Linked DNA regions of Cricetulus griseus. The protein of the gene in region 2 interacts with the protein of the main gene of each other region in a pairwise test. Links are inferred from orthologs where the notes say so. Each region holds a gene or a part of one and is shown on either strand. Other genes may lie near its edges.

Region 1 (4,847 bases), on a different chromosome or scaffold from region 2:
GAGGACCCAGGTTCAGTTCTCAGCACCCATTTGGCACTGTGGTGTACTGACATACATAGGAGCAAAATACTAGTATGCATAAAATAAATAAGCCCCCAAACCTAAAAAAACACAGAAGGGTAGAGAGATGACTCAGTGGGTAAAGTCTGCTGTGCTCATGGGACTGAGTTCAAATCCATAACACCCATCTAAGAGCCAGGCATGGCTAAATGCACACAACCCCCTAGTGCTGGGCAGGCTGAAACTGGAGGTTTCATGGGCCATGCTAGCCAACCTCTTAACTGAACCGGTGAGAGACCCTGTTTAAAAAAAATAAGATGGAGCTGGAGAGATGGCTCAGAGGTTAAGAACACTGACTGCTCTTCTAGAAGTCCCGAGTTCAATTCCCAGCAACCACATGGTGCCCTCTTCTGGTGTGCAGATATACATGGAAGCAGAATGTTGTATACATAATAAATAAATCTCTCTCTCTAAAAAAAAAAAGATGGAGGGCAACTGAGAAAGAAAGATACCACCACCAAACTCTGGCCTCCACATGCACACTCATGCTTGCATGCATACAGGCAGGCACAAGCTGGCGCGTGAACACACACACACACACACACACACATACACACACACACACACACACACACACAAATGAATGCATGAATGAACACACACATGCAGCTGATGACCTTCAGTCATAAAAATAATTTCTGGACACAGACAACAGGAGTGGAGTACAGGAGGGAATCCAGTAAGTCTGGGGTACCACCTCCTTCCTCTGGGGCACACGGCGCCACCACACGTGGTCACAGGAGGAGCAGGCAAACTGTCGGTCCACGGCAGGGATGAGGTCGTCTTGGGCTCTTTGGAACATTCGAAGATTGGCTTTTGTCAGGGGCAACAGAGAGGTGGCCACTGCCTGAAACATGGATGAATGGGGACAAAACAGGGTCACCTCTGCCTGTGGAGCCCACAGCGACCATCCTTACTGCTATATACCTTGGACAGTTATCCATCCTGCCTCATCCCAGCCAAAAAACACACCTGGATATCTCGGTCTTGCTTCATGTCCTCGGGTGGGTCCTGAGGGGAGACACGGAAAAGGAGTACAGAGACTGGAAAGGCTCTATCTAGGAGTCCTATACCCATGTTGAATGGGGGAGAAGCCCCTGCATGGGGCTCCTGGACTTCAGACAGAGATGAAACATTATTGCCTGTGTTGACAGATAGAGCCAGTGCCTACAATGAATGAAGTCCCAAAGATCCTTAAGAAGCAAATACTTGGCTAGTCTCATTTCCCAGAATCTGAACCCACTCAGTGATCGTGGCCCATGGAACCCAGAGCCCTGGATGACCTTTCAATCTGCAGAGGCCACACATGTGACACCTGGCCACTGAAGCCACATAGCTTTTAAAGATTAAAAAGTTTAAAAATGTGTATGTCTGTGTACATGTACATATGTGTAGTGCCCATAGAGGCCAGAAGAGGGTGTCAGATACCCCTGGAACTGGAGTGGTTGTGAACTGTCCCATGTAGGTGCTGAGAATGGAATTAGGGTCCCCTGTGAGAGCAGCAAGTGCTCTCAACAGCTGAGGTATCTCTCAGCTCCTTGGCCACATGGCTTTAAAAGGCTCCAGTTTGGGGGCTTGCAACCGGTTGGCTGCTCTATTGCTCCCAGATGGGGATGGTGGGCAAGTCCCTCTCTTTGAGGGTTCTCACAGAAGGGCCTCTCAGAGCCCGAGCTTCATTGCAAATGGCTAGAATTTGAATCCCTGAAGTCAAATGCTGGTCCCCAGAACTTGGTGAAATGTCATGAGCCTGAGCTTTCTTGTGTAATAGGATTGCCTCCCGGAAGCAGAAGAAAGGGATATGAAATGAACCAAGGCCTGGAGGTTTGCCCCTCAGGCTCTCTCCATGAAGGCAACTTCCTTCTATTATTAATTTGTCATATTCCTTATAGACCTAAACCAAAGGAATATGATTTGTCAGATTCTTTTAGGTGCCCAGCATGGTGGTGCACGCCTTTGATTCCCAGTGCTTGGGAGGCAGAGGCAGGTGGATCTCTGTGAGTTCAAAGCCAGCTTGGCCTGTAAAGTGAGTTTCAGGACAGTCCAGGGCTACATAGTGAGACCCTGTCTCAAAAAAACAAAACAAAACAAAACTTTGGCAAGCCTTTCAAGCAAGTTCAGCACACAGGGTACAGCCACAGAAGTGATTCTATGAATTTATCCCTTCTCCTCCATTGGGACCTCTTTCCCCCCCAGGCCAGCCCAGCCTTTCTTCTAGTGAAAGGTAGAATTAGTTTCCTTGAGCCTTCCTCAACAGCCAGGACCTCCTTATCCGACTGTCCTGTCTCCTCCTCCATCTGAGGCAATCAGCACATAATGAGCGCCTACTGTTTGCAGGCTGCTTCGGACAAGGAAGGAACTTAGATAGCAAGATGGGCTCTCACAGTATCTCTCTTTGAGGAGAGAGGGAGTTCAGGTTACCTGAGCGTCCAAATCGTTGCTCAGCTCCTGTCCATCTTTCTGCTTGACACCTAGTGGGGAAATATGGGAAGGGCTCTTGAAGGGTGAGTAGGAGTTCCAGGTGGTGGAGAGCCTCCTGTCAAGGGGAGCCAGGGTCGCTACAGCGAGCGACAACCACACCCACGCAGTACCCCCTGGGCGGACTCACCATACACGATAGAGCGCCCTACTCCGGTGTGGTCGCTGCCAAACTTCCTCATAAGAGCCCCTGCCTTCTTGGGGGACACTTTTCCATGAAACTTCTCCCGGAGGCGCCTGACGCTCTTCTCCAACTGGGATGGAGGGGAGGTGAGCGCTGGTGTGGGGGACGACTGGGGAGCGGCGCCCGCCCCTCATTCTCCTGAACTTGACCCCGGCTTCTGGCCTCCGCACCCTCTCCCCTCCCCCTCCCTTTAAGCCATTTCCTGGAAAAATCCAAAGTTCTCCAGGCATTGGGGGATGGTGCAGACTGCGGCGGGTGCCAGCCTGCCGGGTGCGAATTTGCGGTCTGGCGTGCGTGCGTGTGAGCCGGGATGCAGGCCAGGTCACCCCCTTTCCTTCTAACCTCTGACCCTGCAGCCCCGCTACGGCCGGGACGGAGGGGGAGGCGGCCCAGGGGGTCGGGGTGTCCCCGGAGCCCTCCCCGCGCGGCCTGTCTCGGGTGGCGCGACTGTCCTACCTCCACGCCGTCCTGAGCCATGGTGGCCGGTGCGCACCTGGCCGCGCCCGGGTCCGGGCCCCGCAGGGCTGGGTGGCGTCGGCGCGGCTCCGCCTCCCTCGGTCCCCTCTTTCGGTTTCGTTTCTGCGCGAAGCTGGGGACCCCGCGGGGACCCCGCCCCGGCCGTGCGGCTGCGTGTCTGCTCGCGCGCCCCGCGGTGCTCCCGGGGCGGTGCTCCCGGCCTCAGCGCGCGCCTCCCCGCGTCCTGCGCAGCAGCGCGGCCGGGCCGGGGATGCAGCGCGCGGCCTCTGCAGTCGGTCACATGTCCCCACGCTGCGCGGGGTCCGCGTCTTCACGTCCCCCGTGGGGGCGGGGCCGCACCGCGCGCGGACGCGGGTCTCGGTGCTCCCACGCTGCTCCTCCTAGACCGCGGGCGAGCTTTGCTCTACTCAGAGGCTCCTACCCGCAGCATCTTTTCCCCCTAGCTCCCTCCAGCCAGTCTCAGTTTCCTCCTCTGTAAAATGGGCACGCAAGCCAGGCTTGGCGACACACACTGGTCACCTCAGCATTTGGAAAGTGGGGGCAGGAGAAGCAAGAGTTCAAGGCTGTCCTGGGCTACATGGACCCTGTTTCAAAAAGAAAGGAAAAAAAAAAAAAAGAAAAGAGGAAAATATCCCAGGACAAAATGAGAGAACTTTTTTTGGGGCAACTTTCATGAACTTCTTGAGCGGTGAATGGGCCCTAGATTTAAGAGGCCTGCCTGCCTGGGTTTTCCTTGCTGCGACCCTCTTTCTTGCCCTTTTTGGTACAGGGGTTGGGTTTCTCACTTTGACCCAGGAGCACTCAAAGCTTGGTTTCCTTCACTAATCAGGGTGGATAGCACAAGTGCAGATAATGGTGGTATAATGGTGAACCGGAAACCAACACCAGAGGGAAGTGGAAACTATCTTCCCACCCCCCCTCCTCTTTCCAGGGCCCTGTAGTTTCAAGGCGGCTCCCTTAATCCAGGCTCCCCTGGACTTTGTATGTCACTGTCTCCCCCTGCCTCTACATTCTGAATTCTGGGGTCACAGATGTGTACCTAGGGTCTCACAGCATAGCCCAGGCTGGCCTTGAATGTGGTTTGGTGGCCCTTCAGCCTCAGTCTCCCCAGTACTGAGATTACAGATGTGAGCCTCCATGTTTGGTCTTCCAGGGGGACTTAATGGCACTCAGCACAATGTGGGACATAGATAATGCACCAATCATCGGGTGACCTTTGGAGTTTCATGCAGGTTGGAGGCAGAGTAAGGATGTGAAGAAAACACACTCTTGGTCCCTAACACCTTGTACTTCTGGCTCATGGGAATACACATTGCAAATTTAAAGGCTAATAACCATGTGGGCAGTGTGTGTGAGACCCTGGTTTCCCCCCGGGCCTGGAAGGAACACCTCCACATGGATCGGCATCAATAAATTATATTGAAATATTACAGCTATTATGGGGAAATGGGCTAGAATTTCCTCAGGAAATAGAATGAACATAAGAGCTGTCAATCGACTACTAGGAATATTCCTGTTGGAAAGGAAACCAGCACGTTAATCAGGAATCCCTGATGAGAGCAGTGGTGGTGGTGTATGGCTTTAATCCCAGCACTTGGGAGGCAGAGGCAGGTGGATCTCTGTGATTTTGAGGCCAGCCTGTTCTACAGAG
Region 2 (4,247 bases):
AGAACTTACAGGTTCCAGGAGGCAAGTGGAACCACAGGTTCCTACCTTAGATCATCAAACAATCTTCATCCTAAACTGGTAATTCTGTCAACAGACCAGATTACATGAGCTAGGCCAATGGAGAGGTGCCCAGAACACATCAGTCTTGATTTCCTGAGAACGTTTACATCTCTAATCATTAGGAGCTTTCCACTAACATCACATCCTCTCCAGAAGCCTGGCTTGAGAAGCCAAGTATAATGGAATCTGGTCCCCCAAAGGAATGAACACAAGCATACATAATTTCCTGGGACTCTGTTGTCATTTTTTTCTGGTAACCAGGAATATTAGAGCAGGAATATATAATTCAGCAGGGATTCAGTTCTACTTCCATCAAAGTGGAAGGACCAAATGAGGGTTCCTGAGAGGACCACAGGACCACAGCTCTTAGGACCTCCTCTCTCATCCTTAAGCACAGGGAGTAATTCCTTTTGGGTTGAAACAATGGCAAAAGCTTGGCTTTGGGGTTTAAACAAAGACAAAGCTCAGGCCCGCCTTGCAGGCAGACATCAGCTCATCAGAAGTAGCTTGGCAGCTTTGTTGGTAGCAAAAGAGATATGCCAAGGAAAGAAACTCAAACTATGCCTCTGGTAAGCGTTCCAACTACTTGTGCATTATGAATATCATGGCATGCTCAAGAAGGCTTGTAGGCTTTGCAGCAAAGTAAGAAAAGGCCAGCGCTAAAACTCAGCATCACCTATTGTATAATGGGAGGAGTAAGAGGCTGAGGGGGAAGAGAGGAAGCTATACCAGTACCTGGGTTAGGACGATGTCTCAGCCCACCAGCACCAGAGCAGAGCTGATATGACCACCAGGCCTACAAGAGGCAAGGAGAATATGGGGGGATCAGGGGCAGGGGATGACTGCAACGTGTCAAATGAGAAGCACAGGAGAGACCGGGAGACGCGTGGTTGCATGAAAAGACACGAACACACAAATCCAACAGATAATGAAGATGAGAAAACAAAGGGAAAAGAGAAAAGAATCAAAGGTTAAAAACCACATAAGCTGGAGCAATAGCATTTCTTCTCTGCTCCCAGAGCCTTAGGAAGAGCAGAGAGGTTCCTCATTCTGGCAGCCTGCAACAGTTGCAAAATGGAGTTAAGCAGCAGATAGGTCCAAATTAGGTATCTGGACCAGTGTTCTCTCTAGTCATGTGCAGCTCCTATCTTGTTAAGAAGTTACCTGCACCTAGATCTTTCTTGAGTCAGACACTCTGGGAAAGTGATGCTTCAGAGAAGACAGTGGGCTTCCTTACAGAAATCAGGTAGATACTTTTCCTGGATTCCTCCAGAAAGAGCCCATCTTCAGCCAGGCTGGCTACCTACCAGCTTTACTTCCTATCTGTTTTAGTGGTATGCAGAGCTCTGGTTCCTACGATCTCCTAGGAATCTAATGCGTTGTGAGTTGTGAGATGTAATACATCAGCCTAACAATGGAAGAGGTTAGTTTTTTGCCTGCAACAACTTACAAAGAGCAACTGAATTTGTATGCAATAACATGAATGCCAGCTGAACTGTCTGCAAAAGATTCAGGACCCACTGGGGCAAAAGGGCATCTAGACATCAACAATGTATTTGACTCTGAAGTACAAAAGCCAAGCTTAGACTTAGAAAAGTGGTCCCTGAGGTTAAGAAGTCCATGAGCTCTGAACCAGTCCGTAGTAGAATATGTTAAGTTCAAAAGAAACATTGGCCTGGTGAAGGGCTACAGTCACTTACTAAGTAACAAGTACATCCTAAGTAACAAGTCCTCCACCTCATGGTTAACAGGGAACTGCATACTGGATCATGAACCAGTAATGTAGACTGAAGTGCCGGAAAACTCCAGATGTCTGTAAAGTGAGTGGGATAGTCCATCACAAGAGACAGTTTTCTGCACAGTAAACTGGGGACTTAGCTAACTAGCCTCAGAGTAGGAGTTCAGCTGACACATACCTATGGAAATGTACCAGTTGTTGAAAGATGATAATACTTCCGTAAGCAGCTGCCTTACCTGCCATCTGCATATACCCCAAGACACCTCCCTCCCAGTCTCTCAAAGATCCAGGAACTAAAGGGTTAGAGCAGTGACCCGTGGCAGGCTGGCCAGTGTCCCTGCTGTGCAGACTGAAACTTTGAGTGTCACCGGGTTCACTGTTCATTCCCAAGGCCCAACACTCTCACATCCTATAATATGCAAAACCTACTGGGTGGTACAAGTCTGCAAGCCACAGCACTAATACATGTGAACTCTCACAGGGTATCATGGGAAAACAGGATGAAGTGACTTGCCGAGGCTAGCAGACATGAAGAAGGGAGGCCAGGGAGAGGGGTGAGGGGACACTGTTGATATAGGGAGGTTCTGAGCACTACAGTGTAAGCGAAAGTACACATGACCTCCACTTTGGCTCTGAGAAAAGGCAGTCATGGTGTAATGTCTCCACAGCAAATTAGTCTAGGCCTGCCATTTTGCTCAGAAAGACTGCCTTCACCAACCCCATCCCCATCCCCAGCACATATTCACTGGCCTCTACTCTTGTACAAGTGTAGGACCACTTCTGAAAATTAGGCACCTGAACCCTAGGCTCATTCCCACTCCATCCACCTTGGCTGTGGTTACCTTTCTGCTCTCAGAAATCGTAAGAGGATTGCCTTCCTCAGCCGTCTCAGAAGACTCAACCTCCTCATCTTCACTGGCTTCCTTATCCTGCCCTTGTCTGTACTCTTCGTAGACTCCATCCTCCTCTTCTGCAGGCTTAGGCTCAGGCTCAGGCTTAGGCTCAGGTTCAGGCTCAGGCTTAGGCTCAGGCTCAGGCTCAGGCTCAGGCTCAGGCTCAGGCTCAGGCTCAGGCTCAGGCTCAGGCTCAGGCTCAGGCTCAGGCTCAGGCTCAGGCTCAGGCTCAGGCTCAGGTTCAGGCTCAGGCTCAGGCTCAGGCTCAGGTTCAGGCTCAGGCTCAGGCTCAGGCTCAGGCTCAGGCTCAGGCTCTTTCCTAGGATCTGCTGGCTCAGTAGCTAGTTCACATGATTTTTTCTTGTCTTGTTTTTTATTCCCTTTTGCCTCTTCCATCTCTTTTTCCTCTTGCGCTATCTCATCTAATTTCCTCTGGCTGGCCTTGTAGTACAGTACCACCTCCAGACTCTGCAGGTGGAGGCAGGGCAGGGTGGGGCCGCTGTTACTGATAAAGAAAAGACTACAGACATAAAGCTCTACTTGTACCATGTCAGAGTTCCACTGTGCAGGACTGTAGTGTGGGACTGTATGCTAATCTTTCCAAGAATGACATGGAGGGCAGTCACATTTAGTTTGTTAAACCAGCGCTTCTTATGCGATCATTAAGCCATTTAAGGCAGTTCACGATAATTCAAGATTCTTGGGCTCTGCTCCTCAACTGTTGCTTCCTACCCTTCCTGGTAATTTTTATCACAACCAATCCTCTTGAATACATTCCTTTCTCTCTGTCTAGTTGGTCTTTCTCTTGATCATGTAACTAGGAACAAAGGAGTCCCAGAGATGAGCTTAGGCTAGTGAAAGCAGTTGTTGGGCATTCTCCCCGTAGCACCCAGAAAAGTGGCCAAACTCTTATAGAGACAGAACTCCTGCAGACATTACTAGTACCAAAAGCCTTCCTCAAAGTAGCTTTCCTGGCAGGAACTGTTAGAGGATATGATGTTTCCTCCCAGGGCCTCCTCCATCTACCTGCCTCTGGCTGCTGAGGCTGTAACTCACCTTCTCGTTCCCAAAGTCGCTCTCTGAGCTCTCTGAGCACGCCTTGCTTGTCTTCTTACTTCTCACTTCATTGACATTCTTGTTCACATTCTTATTGACATTCTTGCCCCTGGCTTCTGAGCTAATAGAGGGCCTGTTCTCCCTGAGCTGGCGGAGTTCTTCCTGGCAGCACTGTAGCTGACACTCCAGCTGCTCCTGCACGGCCAGAAGCCGCCCCTGCTCATCCATGCTAGCCTGGTACTGAAGCTGCAGCTCCCGCAGCTTAGTCTGCAGTTCTTTGATCTGTGGGTGGTGGGATTCCAGTTATCCATGGCAGTCCCACCCAGTCAGCCCAGGCCCTCAAGGGAGCACTGCCTTGCAACTCTCCCTGCTAACGCTTCCAAGTAGACCATGAGACCTAATGCAGATAGCTTTCCTCCTAAGTTGAGGTTAAATGAAGGTCTGCATGGTAAAAAAACTAGTATTAAATCAATAGATATTATGTTTTTGATCATGACCTG
Region 3 (4,790 bases), on a different chromosome or scaffold from region 2:
CTGACACACACACAGGCTGACACACACACGGGCTAGACACAGGCTCACACACACACGGGATAGCCCACACACAGGCTCACACACACACACACACACACAGGCTGACACACACACGGGCTAGCCCCCACACAGGCTCACACACACACGGGATAGCCCACACACAGGCTCACACACACACAGACTGACACACACACAGGCTGACACACACACAGGCTCACACACAGGCTGACACACACACACACAGGCTCACACACGGGCTCACACACGGGCTCACACACACACACACGGCTGACACACACACAGGGACTAGCCCCCACACGGGCTAGCCCCACACAGGCTCACACACAGGCTGACACACACACAGGCTGACACACACACGGGCTGACACACAGGATGACACACACACAGGCTGACACACACACAGGCTGACACACACACAGGATGACACACACACAGGATGACACACACACGGGCTAGCCCCCACACGGGCTAGTCCCCACACAGGCTCACACACAGGCTGACACACACACAGGCTGACACACACACGGGCTGACACACAGGATGACACACACACACAGGCTCACATACAGGCTGACACACATAGGCTCACACACAGGCTCACACACAGGCTGACACACACACACACAGGCTCACACACGGGCTCACACACGGGCTCACACACAGGCTGACACACACACGGGCTAGCCCCCACACAGGCTGACACACAGGCTGACACACACACAGGCTGACACACACACGGGCTCACACACGGGCTAGCCCCCACACAGGCTCACACACACACAGGCTGACACACACACGGGCTAGCCACACACAGGCTCACACACACACGGCTGACACACACACAGGCTGACACACACACGGGCTCACACACAGGCTGACACACACACAGGCTGACACACACACAGGCTGACACACACGCGGGCTAGCCCCCACACAGGCTCACACACACACGGCTGACACACACACAGGCTGACACACACACGGGCTCACACACAGGCTGACACACACAGGCTGACACACACACAGGCTCACACACAGGCTGACACACACGCGGGCTAGCCCCCACACAGGCTCACACACACACGGGCTGACACACACACAGGCTGACACACACACGGGCTCACACACAGGCTGACACACACACAGGATGACACACACACAGGCTCACACACAGGCTGACACACACGCGGGCTAGCCCCCACACAGGCTCACACACACACAGGCTGACACACACACGGGCGAGCCCCCAGACAGGCTCACACACACACAGGCTGACACACACGCGGGTTAGCCCCCACACAGGCTGACACACACACGAGCTAGCCCCCACACAGGCTGACACACAGGCTGACACACACGCGGGCTCACACACACACAGGCTGACACACACACGAGCTAGCCCCCACACAGGCTGACACACACACGGGCTGACACACATGCGGGCTAGCCCCCACACAGGCTGACACACACACAGGCTGACACACACACAGGCTGACACACACAGGCTCACACACACACAGGCTGACACACACGCGGGCTCACACACACACGCGGGCTCACACACACACGGGCTGACACACACACGGGCTCACACACACACAGGCTGACACACACACGGGCTCACACACACAGGCTGACACACACACGGGCTCACACACGGGTTAGCCCCCACACAGGTGACACACAGGCTGACACACACACAGGCTGACACACACACGGCTGACACACACACACAGGCTGACACACGGGCTCACACACAGGCTGACACACACTCAGGCTCACACACGGGCTCACACACAGGCTGACACACACACCTAGCACACAGGCTGACACACAGGCTGACACACACGCGGGCTCACACACACACAGGCTGACACACACACGAGCTAGCCCCCACACAGGCTGACACACACACGGGCTGACACACATGCGGGCTAGCCCCCACACAGGCTGACACACACACAGGCTGACACACACACAGGCTGACACACACAGGCTCACACACAGGCTGACACACACACGGGCTCACACACACACAGGCTGACACACACACGGGCTCACACACACACAGGCTCACACACACAGGCTGACACACACACGGGCTCACACACACACAGGCTGACACACACACGGGCTCACACACGGGTTAGCCCCCACACAGGTTGACACACACACAGGCTGACACACACACTCAGGCTGACACACACACAGGCTGACACACACACAGGCTGACACACACGCGGGCGAGCCCCCACACAGGCTGACACACACACAGGTTGACACACACACGGGCTAGCCCCCACACAGGCTGACACACACACAGGCTGACACACAGGCTGACACACACTCAGGCTGACACACAGGCTCACACACACACAGGCTGACACACACACGGGCGAGCCCCACACAGGCTGAACACACACAGGCTGACACACGCGGGCTGACACACACAGGCTGACAGGGGCTAGACACACCACAGGCTCACACACAGGCTGACACACACTCAGGCTCACACACACAGGCTGACACACACACGGGCTCACACACACACAGGCTGACACACACACGGGCTCACACACACACAGGCTGACACACACACGGGCTCACACACGGGTTAGCCCCCACACAGGCTGACACACACACAGGCTGACACACACACGGGCTCACACACACACAGGCTGACACACACACAGGCTGACACACACACAGGCTGACACACACTCAGGCTCACACACAGGCTGACACACACACAGGCTGACACACACACGGGCGAGCCCCCACACAGGCTCACACACAGGCGCGGCCCGCGCGGCCTTCCCCGCTGCCCCTTGGCAGTGACCCCCGGCCGAAGTCAAGGTCAGGACGGCGCAAGCCCGCTCCCCGACCTCCACGGCCCTTGGTGGGCGGGCGGTCTGACCCTTCAGCCGCGGCCTCGCACGCGGCGCCGGGGCCCGGGGCCGGCTCCCGGGCAGGGGCCCCCGCCGGCTCCTTGTACCTGTCGGGACAGCCCGCACGCGGCCATCTTTCCCCGGCGGAGGTAGGTCACTCCCAAGCGGCGCCCACAGGTGCCAGAGCGCACGCGCGCGCCGGCGTGGCCGCTCAGCTCTCTGGGAAATGGGCTCCCCGGGTGCCAGGGCGCATGGGTGGAAACCTCTTGCATGCTGGGAGTTGTAGTCCATAGGAGCCGGGCGTCCCAACTAAATCTTCAATTACTGGCGGAGCGGGTCTTCGTGTGGAGTGGATGTGCGGTCTTTAGTTTAGGGTTTCCACTTAGATGCTTTGCACACTCATCACCGGTGTCGTTGCCTCGTAGTGTGTAGTGTGTAGTGTGTAGTGTGTCCGTGTGTCGTAGCCTGCTTCACTGGCCAGGCTTCGTGCTTCGCTTAAACAAATGAAAGCCAAAAGCACGAGCGAACCCCCGCAGCGGGGCACTCCTGGGACAGGCTTCCCGGGCCGGTTCTCTCCCGCTCCTTCCGCGGCTTGTCACACTTGGACGGTGTGTGCAATCAGGGTAGAGATCAGAACCAGAACCAGCTTCTAATCAAAGATGACGCAGAAAGTCAAAAGCCAGCTGGCTCGAGCCTTGCGTCCGCACAGCCGGCCGGCTCTCAGTTTCCTCCTTCACAGCAAAGATCCGGCTACAGGGGTTCCTGGTTCTAACGCGTGAATAAACTTAAAAAAAGAAAAGAGAAAAGAAAAGAAAAAAGCTGTCGGAGGTTAAGAGCACTGGCTGCTCTTCCAGAGGTCCTGAGTTCAATTCCTAGCAACCACATGGTGGCTCACAACCATCCGTTATGAGATCTGGTGCCCTCTGCTGGTGTGCAAGCAGACATACAGACAGAACACTATACATGAAAAAAAAAAAAAAAAAAAAAAAAAAAGCTTTCTGCTCAGATTTAGTAGAGGAATACATTTAGTTGATTTGTCCTTTTAGGGTATAACATTTTCTTTATTACTTTTTTTAATGGAGAGATATTTTCTACCACCCAGAGGCAACATCATGGTGAAGTGTTTACCGAAAAAAAATTTTTTAGGCGGCAGAGTGCCCAGGTTTGAATCTTAATAGCTTTGTAACCTTGGTATAATCACACAAGTTTTCTGTGCCTCAATTTTCTTAGCTATAAAATTGTTATTATAGTAGTGTAGTACCTGCCTTACACTATGTTAGGAAATTTAACATATTTATTTATGTTAGCACATATGAGTACATAGTTGACAGAATTCTTCATTTTGTGTTTGTGCTTTTTATACAGAGATTCACAATCTATCTATCTGTCTGTCTATCTATCTATCTAGCTATCTATCTATATACTTTAGTGTCTTCTCTTTCGCCTTAATATGAGGGGAAAATGGATATGGAATTATATATGGGCTGTGAATACAGTCTTTAAAGAATTAGTTTATTTATTTATTTATTTATTTATCTTGGCTTTTTGAGACAGGGTTTCTCTGTGCAGCTTTGGAGCCTGTCCTGGCACTCACTCTGGAGACCAGGCTGGCCTTGAACTCACAGAGATCTGCCTGCCTCTGCCTCCCGAGTGCTGGGATTAAAGGCGTGTGCCACCAACGCCGGCAAAGAATTATTTTATGTGTCAGTATTTGCCTGCATCTATGTTTGTGTGTTATGTATGTGTGTGCATATTGTCTGAGAGACCAGGAAAGGATGTTGGAGTTAGAGGCAGCTGTGAGCTGCCCTGTGGGTGCTGGGGACTGAACACAGGTCTTCTGCAGGAGCAGTCAGGGCACTTAACCACTGAGCCATCTCTCCA
Region 4 (3,451 bases), on a different chromosome or scaffold from region 2:
ATTAAATATTATGCCCAAGGAGCCCTCTCCACATAGAGGGATTCTTTCTCAGCCTAGACACACTGGGGAGGGTCTAGGCCCTGCTCCAAATGATATGACAGACTTTGAAGATCCCCCATGGAAGGCCTCACCTTCCCTGGGGAGCAGAAAGGGATTGGTATAAAGGGGTCGGTCAGGGGCAGGGGAGGAAGGGAGGGAGAGAGAACTTAGATTGACATGTAAAAGAAGCTTGTTTCCAATATAAATAAATAAAAAAGATTATGCCCAAGGTGACAGACTGAACCATATTATTAACATCAAGTAGAAATTTGAAGTTATATGAATTTTGAGTTGTTGATAGAAACGGCTCTCTTTATTAACTTGCCTTCTCAAAACCTGTAGTTCTAAAATCAGAAGCACATAGCTGTCACATAAAAAGTGGTCACTTATCACATGTAAGCAAAAAAGAAAAAAAAAAAAAAAAAGCTTTACCAAGTGCTGAAAAGTGTAGCTCCTGAGCACTTTCAGGGACTGTTTAAATGACAGAGTAAGATTGTTGCTCTCTTCTTTTCCCCCAAAGATATGGCATGAAAATGAGCACTGTATTATGAAAATTGGAAATGATGAGTCTGGTTTGGTGGCCAGGCCCTGAATTTATGTTTAGTGCCTGCTTTTCTGTACTATAGAAGGATTCCAGTGATTCTGTGCCATGTCTGTTCCTCCTGGTTTTCCTGTGCTTATTTACAGCTATGGCCATCACACTCACTTTGTTCCTTTTTCTCTCCCTCCAAGTCTGTGTTAAGTTCCAGTAACTTGTTGGCTGTGGTCTAGAATCTGGGTGACCTGACTTGCCTGGAAAGGAAGGACTGGTAGGAAGTCGGGGTGTTGCTAAGAAGTCTTCTTGCTGTAGAAATCAAATCCATCAGAATCCCCCTTCTGATGAACTTAGGAGGTGTGCATGTTTTGTATCACTGATTCTATTTTGATTAATGACATTAAAGTTACAATTTTTAATTCTTATGAAGGTTGCACCTAATAATCTTGGCAAGTGGTTCGACAAATGCCTGCTATTTGTATTGCAACTCTTGCATCCAATAGCTGCTTGGAGTGATTTAACGCAGCTGAGGAGGACTAGCACTAACAATCATTATAGCCTGAAAAGTGCACAAGTTCACTGTGCTTTTTTTCCTTCTTCAGTCTAAAGACCGATTAATGCTCATCAGATGCTACTTGAAAATCGTTTTCGTTGTATTATGATTAAAGAAATAGTTTAAAGGAGAGGTGAGCCCTGAGGCAGGCCAGTGCTATTTAACCCGTGAGAGGTCGTTTTACTAAGGATTTACTTTAGCCATGCTTCGTCTGCACCCCACCCCCATCTTGCTGAGTGATAGCACAGATGTAGCTCGTTTTGAGAATACAAGGAAGGAGGGAAAGGGGCTAGGGTGAAATCAGGAATCTTCAACCATGCTTCCAGACTCCCCAGGGTTGTTCCTAGTCATTTCTACCTAGTGCCCCTGGTGCCTTTCCTACCTGAAGGTGTGATGCCATCGCCTCTAGCCCTATGTCGCTACCTCCCTGGTGAGTTGTCACCGTCGTTGGACTTGCGACCCTGCAGTAGCCCCTTGGTGGCTCCGGGGAAGGCCGGGAAGCTCTTCCTGGGAGCCACTCCTCCTCGGGCCCCGCGGCTGCCACGCCGGCTGGCCTGGTGTTCCATCGACTGGGAACAGGTATGCCTGCTGCATAGGCTGGGTTCTGGAGGGTTTGGTTCGGTGTACAAAGCCACTTACCACGGTGTTCCTGTGGCCATAAAGCAAGTGAACAAGTGCACCAAGAACCTACGTGCATCCCAGCGGAGTTTCTGGGCTGAACTCAACATTGCAAGACTGCGCCATGACAACATAGTCCGGGTTGTGGCTGCCAGCACGCATACGCCCAAGGGCTCTAACAGCCTGGGTACCATAATCATGGAGTTTGGGGGCAATGTGACTCTACACCAAGTCATCTATGGTGCCACCCGCTCTCCAGGGCCTCTAAGCTGCAGCCGAGAACAACTGAGTTTGGGGAAGTGCCTTAAGTATTCCCTAGATATTGTTAATGGCCTGCTTTTCCTCCACTCACAAAGCATTTTGCACTTGGACCTGAAGCCAGCGAACATTTTGATCAATGAGCAGGACGTCTGTAAGATCAGTGATTTCGGCTGCTCCCAAAAGCTGCAAGATCTGTGGTGCAGCCAGACGCCCCCTCACCACATAGGTGGCACCTACACGCACCAAGCTCCGGAGCTCCTGAAAGGAGAGACCGCCACGCGCAAAGCCGACATCTACTCTTTCGGCATCACCCTCTGGCAGATGACCACCAGGGAGGTGCCATACTCAGGCGAGCCTCAGCAGGTGCAGTACGCTGTGGTGGCCTACAATCTGCGACCGTCCCTGGCGGGGGCAGTGTTCACCTCCTCACCGACGGGGCGGAAGTTGCAGAGCATCCTCCGGAGCTGCTGGGAGGCCCGCGCCCTGCAGAGGCCGGGTGCAGAACTGCTCTTGAGGGACCTGAACGCTTTGCGAGCAGCATTGGGCTGACTCCATCCAGCCTGTGCTTTTTGTTTCTGATTATTTTTAAAGAAGTAAGGGTGGTGTGGAAGAAAACATACCCCTAGGACATAATTTTAGAAAATAAAGTTACTGAAAACTTCAATCTGAAGGGTTTTTTTTTTTTTTTTCCTGAGAATAAGGAGGCTACAGATTTCATGAGCATCACTGCTGGTAACAAACCTGACCCCCTTTATAGTTCTCTGTCCCCTTTCTGGGCTCCTGACCGACTGTATCATCTCCACAATATTGCTGTTAGTTGGATTTGTTACTGAGTGGAAAACAGAAGAGAAAGGGAGGGGAGAGTAAGGAAAGGAGGGAGGGAGGGAGGGAGGAAGGGAGGAAAGAAAGAAGGAAAGAAGGAAAGAAGGAAATGACATGACTACTAATAGGTGTGGTGAAAGAGAAAGTTTATTGTAGATAAAAGGGAGACATAGTCAGAGGCAGGGACATCTGGAAAAGTCCATAGTGAATATGATCCTGAGCCATGGGGGGAGGGGGGAAGAGACGGGAACCAGGTGCAACAATCAGAAGACCCCCCAAAAGGAGAGATAATCAAAATGACTAGATTATATAGGGAGGAGCATCTAGGGGAAGGACAGCCCAGCCCCTGAGCTGGAGAATTTAAAGTAGGGATGGGGTGTACCAGCCAGGCACACCCTGGAACAGGTTGAGAGGGACTAAGGGATGGGGTAGGGGATGCAGGTGTGTCTGCTTTGATATGTTAAATAGGCACCTCAGCCTTTTGTCCTGGATTTGAAACCTAACAGTTACTGATAAAAAACAGTTTTCCAAAAAAAGAATGACACTCCTGACATGCCACATTTTTCTCTGCAAGTGTCACATCTCCCACACCTAAATTCAAGCTTGTTGGCCTGCAACAAAAC

Evidence for each region.
Region 1: the proteins of Ccdc136 (region 2) and Shfl interact in binary tests that used the Homo sapiens proteins (3 or more experiments, as listed by UniProt). The two-hybrid records come from large-scale screens. The link is inferred for Cricetulus griseus from reciprocal best matches to the Homo sapiens genes CCDC136 and SHFL.
Region 3: the proteins of Ccdc136 (region 2) and Atp5po interact in binary tests that used the Homo sapiens proteins (3 or more experiments, as listed by UniProt). The two-hybrid records come from large-scale screens. The link is inferred for Cricetulus griseus from reciprocal best matches to the Homo sapiens genes CCDC136 and ATP5PO.
Region 4: the proteins of Ccdc136 (region 2) and Mos interact in binary tests that used the Homo sapiens proteins (3 or more experiments, as listed by UniProt). The two-hybrid records come from large-scale screens. The link is inferred for Cricetulus griseus from reciprocal best matches to the Homo sapiens genes CCDC136 and MOS.

Annotation. Positions count from the first base shown.
Region 1 is NC_048597.1:133,743,854-133,748,700, reverse strand, and holds the start of Shfl (shiftless antiviral inhibitor of ribosomal frameshifting protein), read right to left. Parts: upstream 3,197-4,847; coding exon 3,176-3,196; intron 2,790-3,175; coding exon 2,666-2,789; intron 2,529-2,665; coding exon 2,479-2,528; intron 1,072-2,478; coding exon 1,033-1,071; intron 908-1,032; coding exon 758-907; intron 1-757.
Region 2 is NW_023276806.1:198,396,191-198,400,437, forward strand, and holds part of Ccdc136 (coiled-coil domain-containing protein 136), read right to left. Parts: intron 4,030-4,247; coding exon 3,748-4,029; intron 3,212-3,747; coding exon of another isoform or gene 3,194-3,211; exon of another isoform or gene 3,160-3,193; coding exon 3,018-3,159; intron 2,805-3,017; coding exon 2,641-2,804; intron 1-2,640. UniProt on the Homo sapiens protein: May play a role in acrosome formation in spermatogenesis and in fertilization.
Region 3 is NC_048597.1:5,849,117-5,853,906, reverse strand, and holds the start of Atp5po (ATP synthase subunit O, mitochondrial), read right to left. Parts: upstream 3,197-4,790; 5' UTR 3,182-3,196; coding exon 3,017-3,181; intron 1-3,016. UniProt on the Homo sapiens protein: Subunit OSCP, of the mitochondrial membrane ATP synthase complex (F(1)F(0) ATP synthase or Complex V) that produces ATP from ADP in the presence of a proton gradient across the membrane which is generated by electron transport complexes of the respiratory chain.
Region 4 is NC_048595.1:156,238,702-156,242,152, forward strand, and holds Mos (proto-oncogene serine/threonine-protein kinase mos), read left to right. Parts: upstream 1-1,520; coding exon 1,521-2,555; downstream 2,556-3,451.